Linked DNA regions of Drosophila melanogaster. The protein of the gene in region 2 interacts with the protein of the main gene of each other region in a pairwise test. Each region holds a gene or a part of one and is shown on either strand. Other genes may lie near its edges. The genes, in order: CG32988, Kdsr and CG4676.

The links.
Region 1: the proteins of Kdsr (region 2) and CG32988 interact in a two-hybrid assay, tested with the Drosophila melanogaster proteins (one large-scale study listed by BioGRID).
Region 3: the proteins of Kdsr (region 2) and CG4676 interact in a two-hybrid assay, tested with the Drosophila melanogaster proteins (one large-scale study listed by BioGRID).

The regions. Positions count from the first base shown.
Region 1 is NT_033779.5:8,862,796-8,866,279, forward strand, and holds CG32988 (uncharacterized protein), read left to right. Parts: upstream 1-2,068; 5' UTR 2,069-2,108; coding exon 2,109-2,876; 3' UTR 2,877-2,897; downstream 2,898-3,484. Other genes in the region: CG32986 (uncharacterized protein), read left to right, coding at 12-884; CG32987 (uncharacterized protein), read left to right, coding at 1,060-1,833; CG32983 (uncharacterized protein), read left to right, coding at 3,112-3,484.
Region 2 is NT_033777.3:25,260,308-25,264,189, forward strand, and holds Kdsr (3-ketodihydrosphingosine reductase), read right to left. Parts: upstream 2,192-3,882; 5' UTR 2,094-2,191; coding exon 1,877-2,093; exon of another isoform or gene 1,875-1,876; intron 1,807-1,874; coding exon 1,238-1,806; intron 1,174-1,237; coding exon 949-1,173; 3' UTR 656-948; downstream 1-655. Other genes in the region: CG11858 (uncharacterized protein), read left to right, coding at 2,503-2,578, 2,638-2,954; GlnRS (Glutaminyl-tRNA synthetase), read right to left, coding at 3,031-3,882.
Region 3 is NT_033778.4:13,234,170-13,237,602, forward strand, and holds CG4676 (uncharacterized protein), read left to right. Parts: upstream 1-1,810; 5' UTR 1,811-1,845; coding exon 1,846-2,086; intron 2,087-2,138; coding exon 2,139-2,752; 3' UTR 2,753-2,886; downstream 2,887-3,433. Other genes in the region: Qsox1 (quiescin sulfhydryl oxidase 1), read right to left, coding at 1-728; CG4679 (uncharacterized protein), read right to left, coding at 3,145-3,433.

The DNA.
Region 1 (3,484 bases), on a different chromosome or scaffold from region 2:
AAGTGCTCCCAATGTTAGGAGGCAGTTTAAGAAATGACTGGGTCATCTATCCACCAGCCCTCCAGCTTCTCAACTTTCCTTTGCCACAGCAGCAAGAGCAGGCTCCTGGAACTTTGGTTCGATACGAGCATCCTTCGATACACCAGCTTCGCTTAGCACCCCGTAGATTAAGGGCACGACGTTCGGTTGTGGAAGGCGAAGGCTCCAGAGGACTGGACAACGGAAATGGCGACTCGTCGAAAATAATATTTGTGCGGCGCTGCTACATGATGGCTGGATTGTTTTCGACTACAACTGCGATCCTTGCCATAATCCTGTCCAAGGTAATTCCTCCGGAGGCAGATCTTATAATGGCAGGATTCATAAGTGCAATGGTGTCCCTAATGTTTCTCTTTGTCTTCTGTATTTTGACCAAGTTGCGGAGTTTTTATTGGTATAGTTTCATCATGGCCGGGTTGTTTGTAAGTCTGGCAGGTTTGGGCGTTATTCTGCTTCTCCTGGAGCGGAACCTTTCCCGCGTGTGCATTGCCCTTCTGGTGGCCTCCGCCATGACTGTGATATGCTATTTCGCTGGCGCATGGATACCCAAGATCATCCTCCCCGGAGAGAGGACCATGTTCCTCCTGCTCGTCATTTTCGTGATGTCCTCAATCTTTGTGATGACCATGTATATCTTCACAGACAATTGGATCTACCAGTTGGTGTACTTCACGTTATTGGCCACTTTGCTAATACCCGCATCCGTTTACCATGCTCAGGTGGTTCATTCCAGGCGATTCCAGCTGCCCGATTACGAATTCGTTATTTGCGCCGTCAACATCTATCTGCACTTTCTGTTGTTCTTTGCGGCCTTTTACTTTGTCATCTGGGCTCCCAAATGGTGAGAGTTATAGGAGTTAATTTAACGTGTCCGTGTAAAATAAAAAGAAGGCTTTAATGAGAAAAGATACCAATTTGTAAATAAAAGATATAGAAGGTGAGCAGCTTTGCCAGGAGGTAAGTGTCAGGGTGCAGGCCAGACCTAGTCTTAACACTCGGTCCATAAGGATTTTTAACGGGATGGACAACATTTACCACCAGGACAACATCCGGCCGACGATCGAGCAGCTGGACCCAATGACCCAGTTCATCCGCAGCATCTATAACATTGGCCTGATCCTTATCGGAATTACGGTGGGCGCATGGATTCTGCTCATGCTGACCCATATTCACCTGCAGAGGTACCTTCCGTTTCCCTGCTACGTCCTGGCTCTAATAATTTTTCTGGTGATGATATGCATGCATTGTATCCCGAGAATATCCTACTACTCTCCCTGTAAGTGGTTCATGACAGGTCTGGTGGTTGTGTGTACCACCTTGTTTGGCTGCCATTTCATCCACGACTTGAGCCCGCTCATTATCAGTTTCGTGATGATCGGCGTGGCCCTGATCATTATGTTACTCAACTTCTCTGGGGCCATGTGCCCGCAGGAGTTCCTGCCCGGCGGTGTTTGCTCCACGCTGCTGATGATGGCACTGCTGTTGGTCTTGACCATTGTGGGAATCGTCCAGCTCTGCACCGGGAGTGTTGAGCTGCTCGACACCTTCGTCAGCATTCTGTTCCTGATGCTGATCATAGCGATCCCCATTCAGGCGCAGTTCAACCATGGCCGTCTGAACGTCGTGGAAGTGGTTCCCGAAGAGCACCTCATGGTCTGCACCCTGACTTTATACTTGCATTCAATGATGTTCTTCTTCTGCGTGTGCTACTTCATCCTGGTCGACGAGAGAAAGGAGGCCATCAGACAAACATCTGAAGCTCCGAAAATTTCACTCGAAAATGATTTTGATTGAGAGAAATAGCTGTCACTGTGTGATCGAAACTGATTAGCGATCTGGCAAGTTACTATGGTGTTCCAGACCAAAGGATACTGTCATCCAGTCTAATTACTTAGTGCGGTGTAGCCTAGGCGGTACAGAAAATATAAATATATTCTCATTGCAAGGCAATTAGAATAAAGCCAGAGTATTATGAAAAGTCCTAGTCTCAATATAAGAGAAAATGAATCACTTACTTTGCTTTTTTCTTCAAAATTACATTATATTGACCTAAAATAATTGATTAACACATGAATAATCGCAATCGGGGTTGGGGTCGTTATGGCCTTAGAACCGGAAGACCTGGTGGCGAGCCAGTTCCTGCGGAGGGACCGGAGGTCTTAGTCATCAACGAGCGGGAGTTGCGGGCCTTCATCTTCCGGGTGTACCTATCCTCCGTAGTGCTGTGCCTGCTGTCTTCCATTTCGTGGATCATACTGTCGGCACTCGCTGTGAGGGTCTACAAGGCAATTCCAGTGCCGCCGTTCGTTTGGCTGATATTAGCTTTCATCATTCTCTCAGTGCTCGGCTGCATCGCACAGACTCCAGCATTGACCTTGTTATGCTGGGGATTGGTGCTGGGATCCTTGTTCTTTCTCACCCTGTTCGGAGCGTATTATATGCATCTAGTGCGCGTCTGGGTCCTTTTGATTGCCATTTTGGTTGCCGGATCCCTGCTGGCCCTGCTGCATTTGTATGGGGCCAAAAGTCCGGAGGTTCTGCTACCCAACATTATCTGTACTTGCTGCATTTTTCTGCTGCTCACCGTCACCATGATCGTCCTGCTAATACTCTTCCTGATCATCAATGATATGCGGTATCTCCTGGCACTTGCCATAGTGTTCGTCATCCTGATCGCATTCATGGCTCCATTTCAGGCTCGTTTCATTTGTGGAAGGCTGCAGCAGGTGCCTTATGGGGAGACTGCGGATTGCGCCAATGGCATTTACCTACACTTTATTTTTCTACTCTCCTGCATGCTCGTTTTTGCCCTGTACTATAAGCTAGTTAATAGTTGAATAAAAAATATGTTGAGGCTGATGTGCAAATAGCCTAGAAATGTATTTGCGACTATGTTGGATAAAAACTGAATGGTTTTAAGTGCATGTTGTTGGCTTAAATTAAACCATCGAAAATCAATGAACAGGCCATTTGGTTTTTGATTGGTATACCTCAGTAATACTAGTGAACAATCTTAGCAAAATGTCGAATTACATCAATTTTTGAAATTTCTGTCTCAAAAAATTCGGATCGATGAGTTGTTGTCAGCATGAGCAAGTGGAATTGGAAGAGGAAGCAGACGAGGTGCAGCTAGTGTTTGCCCGTACTGTTTACATAGAAGCCGTACTACTGTGTTCCGCATCGGCATTTCCCTTAATGTTTATTGCGTCGCTCAAGATAAGCATTGTTAGAATCCTGCCGGTTCCGCCGTACGTGTGGCTGCTTTTCGCCCTCGCCATCCTGGCAGTCCTGATCTGCCTGCCCATCAGTCGCGTTCGGCCACTGATCGTCTGGACAATGGTCGGCGGGGTTGTGGGACTCTTAACGCTGTCCGCCGCATACTATGTAAACATGTATGACATTCCCGACTTGGTGCTCTACTTTACCGTAATGGCACTGGTTTTGG
Region 2 (3,882 bases):
GTTTGTGTAGCATTTTTCGTTTCACTGTTGAGTTGTCGTACGGCGTCTTGTGCAAAATACCTTGTTTATTGTTTAATCTAACTGCTTGTTTAAATTTATATTTATTTACAATGCTTTCTATCTATTGTAAATCCCAAACGATACCGAAATACTGCAGATCAGCTCTAATTTAGTTTTTCATCCTAATCCTAACAATAATTTAATAACTCTTCTATCCAAAAAGTAGACTTACTGTATTTGAATCCAATTATTTTTGATTATCGTGCTAAGATGCTATAATAATATGTCTAAATATATATACAAACATATATATATATATATTTTGCATTATGATTATACAATTTTTGTTAGCGTTAACTATACAGAATGTTAAAAAAAGGCGAATTGAAAACTGAAACTATAGGAAGTGTACACTGGGTGCGTCTTATGAATAAAGAAAGACAAAAGAAAACCAAATAATTTATCGTTGAATTTTGAACCATTTGGAAAAGGTTGATGGCTTTTGTGGCGTGGTTTTTGTATTTATCTAATCGCTTCTGCATGTAGTTTGCTGTTCGATTTTAAGATACGAAACCAATTTTGATTAGGCCAATGCGTGAAATTGCTTTAGCGATTAGCACAATCACTAAGTGGTTATTTAAAAACGACTCATTTTCTGAACAGTAAATACATTTTATTTTTGTTAAAACGAAGCACACACCAACAAAACGAGCACACGTCATCTAGTCTAGAAAACACGATACAAATAGTTAAAACCCTAGCACGGCAATAATAAAAAAGTTCAAATGCACATACAAATATATATATAAAAATGAATGATAATACGGGAATTGTAATATATGAATAGGCTAACCATGCAAAACAATCGCACATTTTGATTAATTATAAAAAAGTGATTTAATTATGGGCACTTGGGAATACTTTAAGGGCAGCGGGACAAGAGAGATTTCACTTGGACTCCACTTGCGATGTGGCCTTGGCCTTATCCTCTCGAGCGCATTTGCGTATAACACTATTGAAGTACTTGTGCAGAGCGTAGCTAACTATTCGCAGTGGTCCCAAAACTATGGCGTGCAGAAGATTGGTGAAGAAGCCATCCCAAGGAAGCAATGCTCCACCCAAAGTGGTGATCAGCCAGCTTTCTGCTCCAACAGTTGAGGTGAATTTTCCCTTCTACAAATAAGAAAAAGTATTCTAGTTAGATTGCGTGAATATTAACTATGGGTAACAGACTCACCAGGGCATCCTTAAGTATAGCTTTCGCCATAACTTCCGGCTCTATGAGACCTCCTCCACCAGAGATTATTTTGGTTTCCCTGGGCTTTGACTTCTCCTCCTCCTCGAATCCGGGTGTATTCGTATCGCAGGGCATGGCCAGAGTGACGCTGACCCCGTGCTCCCGAGACTCCATTGCAATCGTTTCAGCCATCGCTCTCAGGGCGTACTTGGTGGCTGAGTAAGGACCGTATCCATAGATGCCAAACATAGCCGCCTGTGAGGCAGTGATTACAATAATGCCGTCGCCGGCTTTCTTCATTTTGGGCAGGACATAACGGGTGCAGTTATAGGTGCCGAAGAAGTTTACGTTCATCAGCTTGTGGACATCCTGGACTGAGACCTCCTCGAACACACCGCAAATGGCCATTCCGGCACAGTTTATTAAAGTGTATATGGGGCCGAAGCTATCTTCGATCTCGCCAAGCACTTTGGCCACCTGGTCATAATCGCCGCTTATGTCCAGACTTCTGTACTGGAACTTTTGATCTGGCCGCTGGCGAATCACTTCCATCAGAGCCACTGCTCCGCCTGCAAAAAAGATCGTATATCAAAGATAAGAGTATTTTGGGTGGGGTTTCCTAGCCAGAACATTACTCACTCAGCATTTTCTCGTCGCGCGCTATCACCGTCACATTGGCGCCTTTCATGGCGCACTCCACCGCCAGACAGAGTCCGATTCCCTTGGAGCCGCCGGTGACCACCACATGACGACCCACAATGCTCCTCGGTTTCTTGGCCATGACGAACACGTAGACCAGAACATGAACCAGCACCGCAATGCCCACGCAGAACACTATCTCCCAGCTCAGTTCCATGATGACAATTTCAAGAGGGTGCGATAATTCCCGGATTCTCTAATCTCTTACGCTGGCTTATCTGCACCCAAAGTTAAACGTCTGATTAGAAAGTGCATCTAAGTGTGACCGTTGACGCAAACCGGATTTCTATCGAAAGCTTTCGACGCACATCAGAGATGCAAATGTGGCTATAAGCGGCCAAGCAAATATTTTGTTCTTCAAAACTTTTTGTTTAATTTTATTCATAATAAATTAAATGTGCAATGGCTACCCATATGAATCAACAACATAAATATTTACTAGATCTTGAAATAAAGTGGTTTGATAAAAAAGGTTAGATCTTAGTGCGCAGCACTGACCGCATGTGTCTGCTCCAACCAAACTGTTTACTTGTTTCGAATTTGCAATTTAAAAACATTGAACGAAAATGCCACCGAAAAAGGATGCGAAGAGTGGAAAGGATGCAGGGAAAGGTGGCAAAAAGCCAGCCGCCGAAGACAAGTGTAAGTGCTTACGACTAAAGCAAAAATCCTATCCTTCAAATGAATTTTGCCATCTGCAGCTGCCGGTAAGGAGAAGAAGGGAGGCAATGCTGTAAAGGTTCGTCACATCTTGTGCGAGAAGCAGGGCAAGATCACCGAAGCGATGGAGAAGCTAAAGGCAGGCCAAAAATTCCCCGAGGTAGCGGCTGCTTACAGCGAGGACAAGGCGCGACAAGGCGGCGATCTCGGATGGCAGATCCGAGGAGCGATGGTGGGCCCATTTCAGGACGCCGCCTTCGCATTGCCCATCTCCACTGTCAACAATCCCGTGTACACAGATCCCCCGATTAAGACCAAGTTTGGCTACCACATCATCATGGTGGAGGGAAAGAAATGAACATTGATTTTATAAATCGAATTTTAATGTGATACGGATTTTGTTTCTTTTCATTTGTGGGTTCCCGAAATCCCGTTCACTTCTTGCCCGCATCTTCCTTCAATCCCACAGTGCGGTTGAACACTAGGTGGTTCGCACTGGTGTCAGGATCTACGGAGAAGAAGCCAATCCTCTCGAACTGGAACTTGTCGTAAACCTTGGCCTGGTTTAGGGCCCGATCCGCGAATGCCACCACCACCGACATGGATTGCTCACTGATGTCGCTCAGGAAACCGCCGGGCACCTCGTTGGGATCCTCGGGATTCTTGTGCTTGAAGAGCTGCTCGTACAGACGCACTTCCAGCTGTATCGGCTGCGATACCCACTGGACAAAAGCCTTGGGCTTCTCGGCCTGCTCGGCAGGTTGGCTGGTGCAGATTAGTTCCACCACCTGACCAGTCGCCGGATCCTTTACTATCTCATCCACGCTGATTACGAGACCCGCGTGCCGGAGACCCACAGATTGCTTCGGTGCCAGACGACGGTATCCCTTTTCAGGCTCCAACTTGAAGTCTCCCTGCTCAATATAGATCACCTTGTCTAGGGTGATCTTATGAGTTCCTTGCTGTGGGTTTTGCGGGAAATCAGGCACTTCTAGCTGCACGGGCGCTGCATGAGGGAAATTCTTTATGGTAACTTTGAGCGGTTCCAGGACAACCAACCGACGGGGAGCTGTAACATTTAGCACATCCCGCACTGCTGCCTCCAACATGGCGGGGTCGACGGCGATCTGGGCACCCGTTACGCCCATCTGGGCGCAGAAGTTGTTGATGGCCTCTGCTGGGAAGCCTCTACGTCTCAGAGCCGTCAGAGTAAACAGCCTGGGATCGTCCCAGTCGTGGACAATCTGCTCCGTGATCAGCTTTGCAATCTTGCGCTTTGACACAAG
Region 3 (3,433 bases), on a different chromosome or scaffold from region 2:
AATTTGGCGGCCACGGCTGGATCGATGACGCGCCGGACCCTCACCGCTGGCCACTGGGTCATGAACAGAGCCACCTCGACGCCTAGAGTGGTGTTCTCCGGTTCGTGAACCACTGCCACGTACTCCGTGGCGCTGCTGAGACCTTCGAACAAACTGCTGGCTGAATCGTTCTCCGTTAAGTAGTGAAAGTTTGGCCAGTAGGAATTGTTGTGGCTGCTGGTCAGGTTCTCTGCGGCCACCATACCCGCTAGTATTTCGCGGATTTCGTTTTTATCCTGCGTATGCAGGCTCTGCCCGTAATGCTGAGGACCCGGCTGGAAACCGGGGCCCAGATAACGTAGCGTTGGATAGCCCATCACCTCGTAGTTGCGGCAGATGCCATTGTTCTCCTCGGCGGCGCAATCGATGGCCGCCACGATGAGCACCTCGGACCAGGGCAACAGGTGCTCCGCTACCGACTTGTACGTGGGTGCGAATCTGCGACAGTGGCCGCAGTAAGTGTTGTAGAACTCGACTAATGCTCCGCGATTCTGGTCCAGGACGGTAGCATTGAAGTTGTCGACCGACAGGCGGATAACCTTATCCCCGTCGTCGTAGAGACCCAGTGTGGGATCCGATGGAGGGGACTGCTGCTTGAGGAGCGCCTCGTATCGCGGAAGGGGAACGCCCGCGGATGCGATGTCCACCAGCAGAGCGACGGCCAGAATCACCAGGTGCGTCGCCGACATTTTGCGGATCTACCCAATTTGCGGGATCGGTTGCGGCTGCGATTCGTACGGAATGCGATGTGGAACGCGACTGCTCTGCTGCGATAAGATTTAACTTCACCGAAGCATTTGGAATGTTTTACGGTCGCAAGTGGTTTGATTAACTGCTGCCAGGGATGCCAAATCGTCTGCTTTCTAGCTACGATTCTTCAGCTATTTTCAAAACTCGCGAAGCGAAACGATGTTAAACGTTTTTCGTGCCATATAATTTGTGCATTTTTAAATTACTTTGCCTATTAATTTGTTTTATTGTCAGTAAAAGTCATTTGGTATATATGTATAAACTACTAGCTACACGAATTCATTTTTACTGCGAACTAGTTCGCTCCCAAAATTTTAAAACCTAAAAAAGAAAAAAATTATTAAAGTAATATAAAAAGAACAGTGCACCTAGGCTAGGCAATGTTTTATACCTGCTTGCACTCTACATCAAGGAAATGATTATTTTTCACAATTTAAAACTTTACATTGTTTAGTTAAACATATTCTTTTATTTTATTGTCTCGTTCGTCATATGGTTTTCGATAATCCGCAAAAAAAAACCCCAACCTATTATGCACACGTATATATTAATTGAATCGCCTTTAAAAGTTCCAAGAAAAAAAACAAAGCAAAGTTTCATCGAAGCGCTATGCCTTATCAATTTTGTATGGTTTTTGTTTTTGTAATTTCACAGTAGAAATCCCCATTATAAAGTCGTTCTTTAATTTCAAATAAAATTTTATTTTTAATTTCAAGTTTTTATGTAATAATATAAAGCAAACTTAAGAACTTAAGCTTATAACATTTGTATTCCTTTAATATACCATCGTTTATGACATTTGATTTATTCGTATTAAGTTACTTATTATTACCTTATATATTTATATTTCTTTAAATTAAATCATTTGTGTTCTTTAAAAACCGGATTGCTTCTGTTAAATTCAATCTTATTTAACATTTTACGGGTTTCCTAACGTAAAGAGTTGTGTTCTAACCGTTTCACCATACTCGACTTAACAGTCTTACCGTTAGCAGCAGAGCCAAAAATCGCTTTGCAGCACTGTCTCAGTTGGGGGGTACAAAAAATAACGGGAGCATGATGATTTTGCGCTCGTGGGATCGCGTTAAACCTCGTTCCATTTCGGATTTCGCATGTTTCCTCCTGGTGGCTGTCTTTGTGCCCGTGACATACATCTTCCATGTGACCATTGTTATGCCGGAACTGTTTGCCATCGGAGGGATTTGGTACACGTTATTATGGTTGGCCAGCCTGTTCCTCATCTTCAACATCACATCCAACATGCTGGCCTGCATGCTTGTGGACACTAGTATCCGCAGTGGGTAGCAAGCAGTGATTTTGTGGTATCCCTTCTAAGATTGTCTTTATAGAGGAGCTGCTGAAGCCACCGTTGGATGCGGCGCAGCTGGCACGGTGGCACTCTTGCCAGGATTGTCAGACATTGGTGCCACCTCGATCCTGGCACTGCGAAGTGTGCAACGTGTGCGTGCTGAAGCGGGACCACCACTGTCGGTTCACTTGCTGCTGCATCGGGCATCACAACTACAGGTACTTCTTCTACTACCTGGTTTACATGATCATCGGATCCTTGGCGGCCGCCATCATGGAGAGCATCTATCTGTGGCATCTCCATCTGGACATCTACTGGCGCTGGTCTACGCTGTTCACCATATTTGCTCCCGTGGTTAGCCTGATGCTGTCTCCAAGCTGGGAGTCCTTCTACTTGGTCATATATGATCTCACCCTTCTGGGCTTCGCCATATCATCCTTGCTCCTTGTCTTCCACTGGTCGATATTCAAGAGCGGTTCGGTGACACGAGAGCGCGGCACAAGAAAGTACGATCGCGGTTTGCGGGGTAACCTGGAGATGGTTCTGGGCAAGAGAATGCATCTCACCTGGCTGTCGCCGTTTCTACGCAGCGATCTGCCACACGACGGAATGAACTGGGAACCCATAGCCGCCTTTTCTCCAAAGGAGGAATAGATCTGAATTGTGTCTTACCCATTCTTGACATTCATTAGAGGCATTTACTTATATCTACTTCATAACAAAATCAGTATTGTTTATTTTAAGACTCACTAGTCAACATCTGAATTGGAAATAGTATCCAAATTTATACGTCTTACTATTCTCTACTTGACCAATGGAAATTAATTTTTAATGTTTACAAGTCACACATTTGATCAGCTTACAAGTTAAAATAGTACAAAGCCTTTTATTAACATAAAGCTTTACAAAATATTTAGAATACTGTGTATTCATTCAGTAATGTCTATTATATGTATTAAATTAATCTGTTTAATGAAACCAAACAAGTATTTATTAAATGGTTATTTATTTAACAGCGTTCATTATATAATTTACAAAAGACTCTACTACTTATCGAGGAAACTTTCGCCTACGAGCGATTTCAGCTTAGACAGGTGTGTTTCATTTAGGGTAAATCCTTCATGAATACGTTTGGCTAACTCCCTGGAATCAAAGTTGTTCTCAACGGCATATTGCAGGGCAAACAGCGCCTGGCTGGGTGACTTCTCCTGCACACTTGCGTCCACAAATTCTATCAGAGCATTTAGGCTTGGTGTTCCGGGAATTCTGTGCTGGTTCTTGTCAATGTGGGCGAAGACTTCGGTCGCCTTTTCGTAGCTACCACCGCGAACGAGA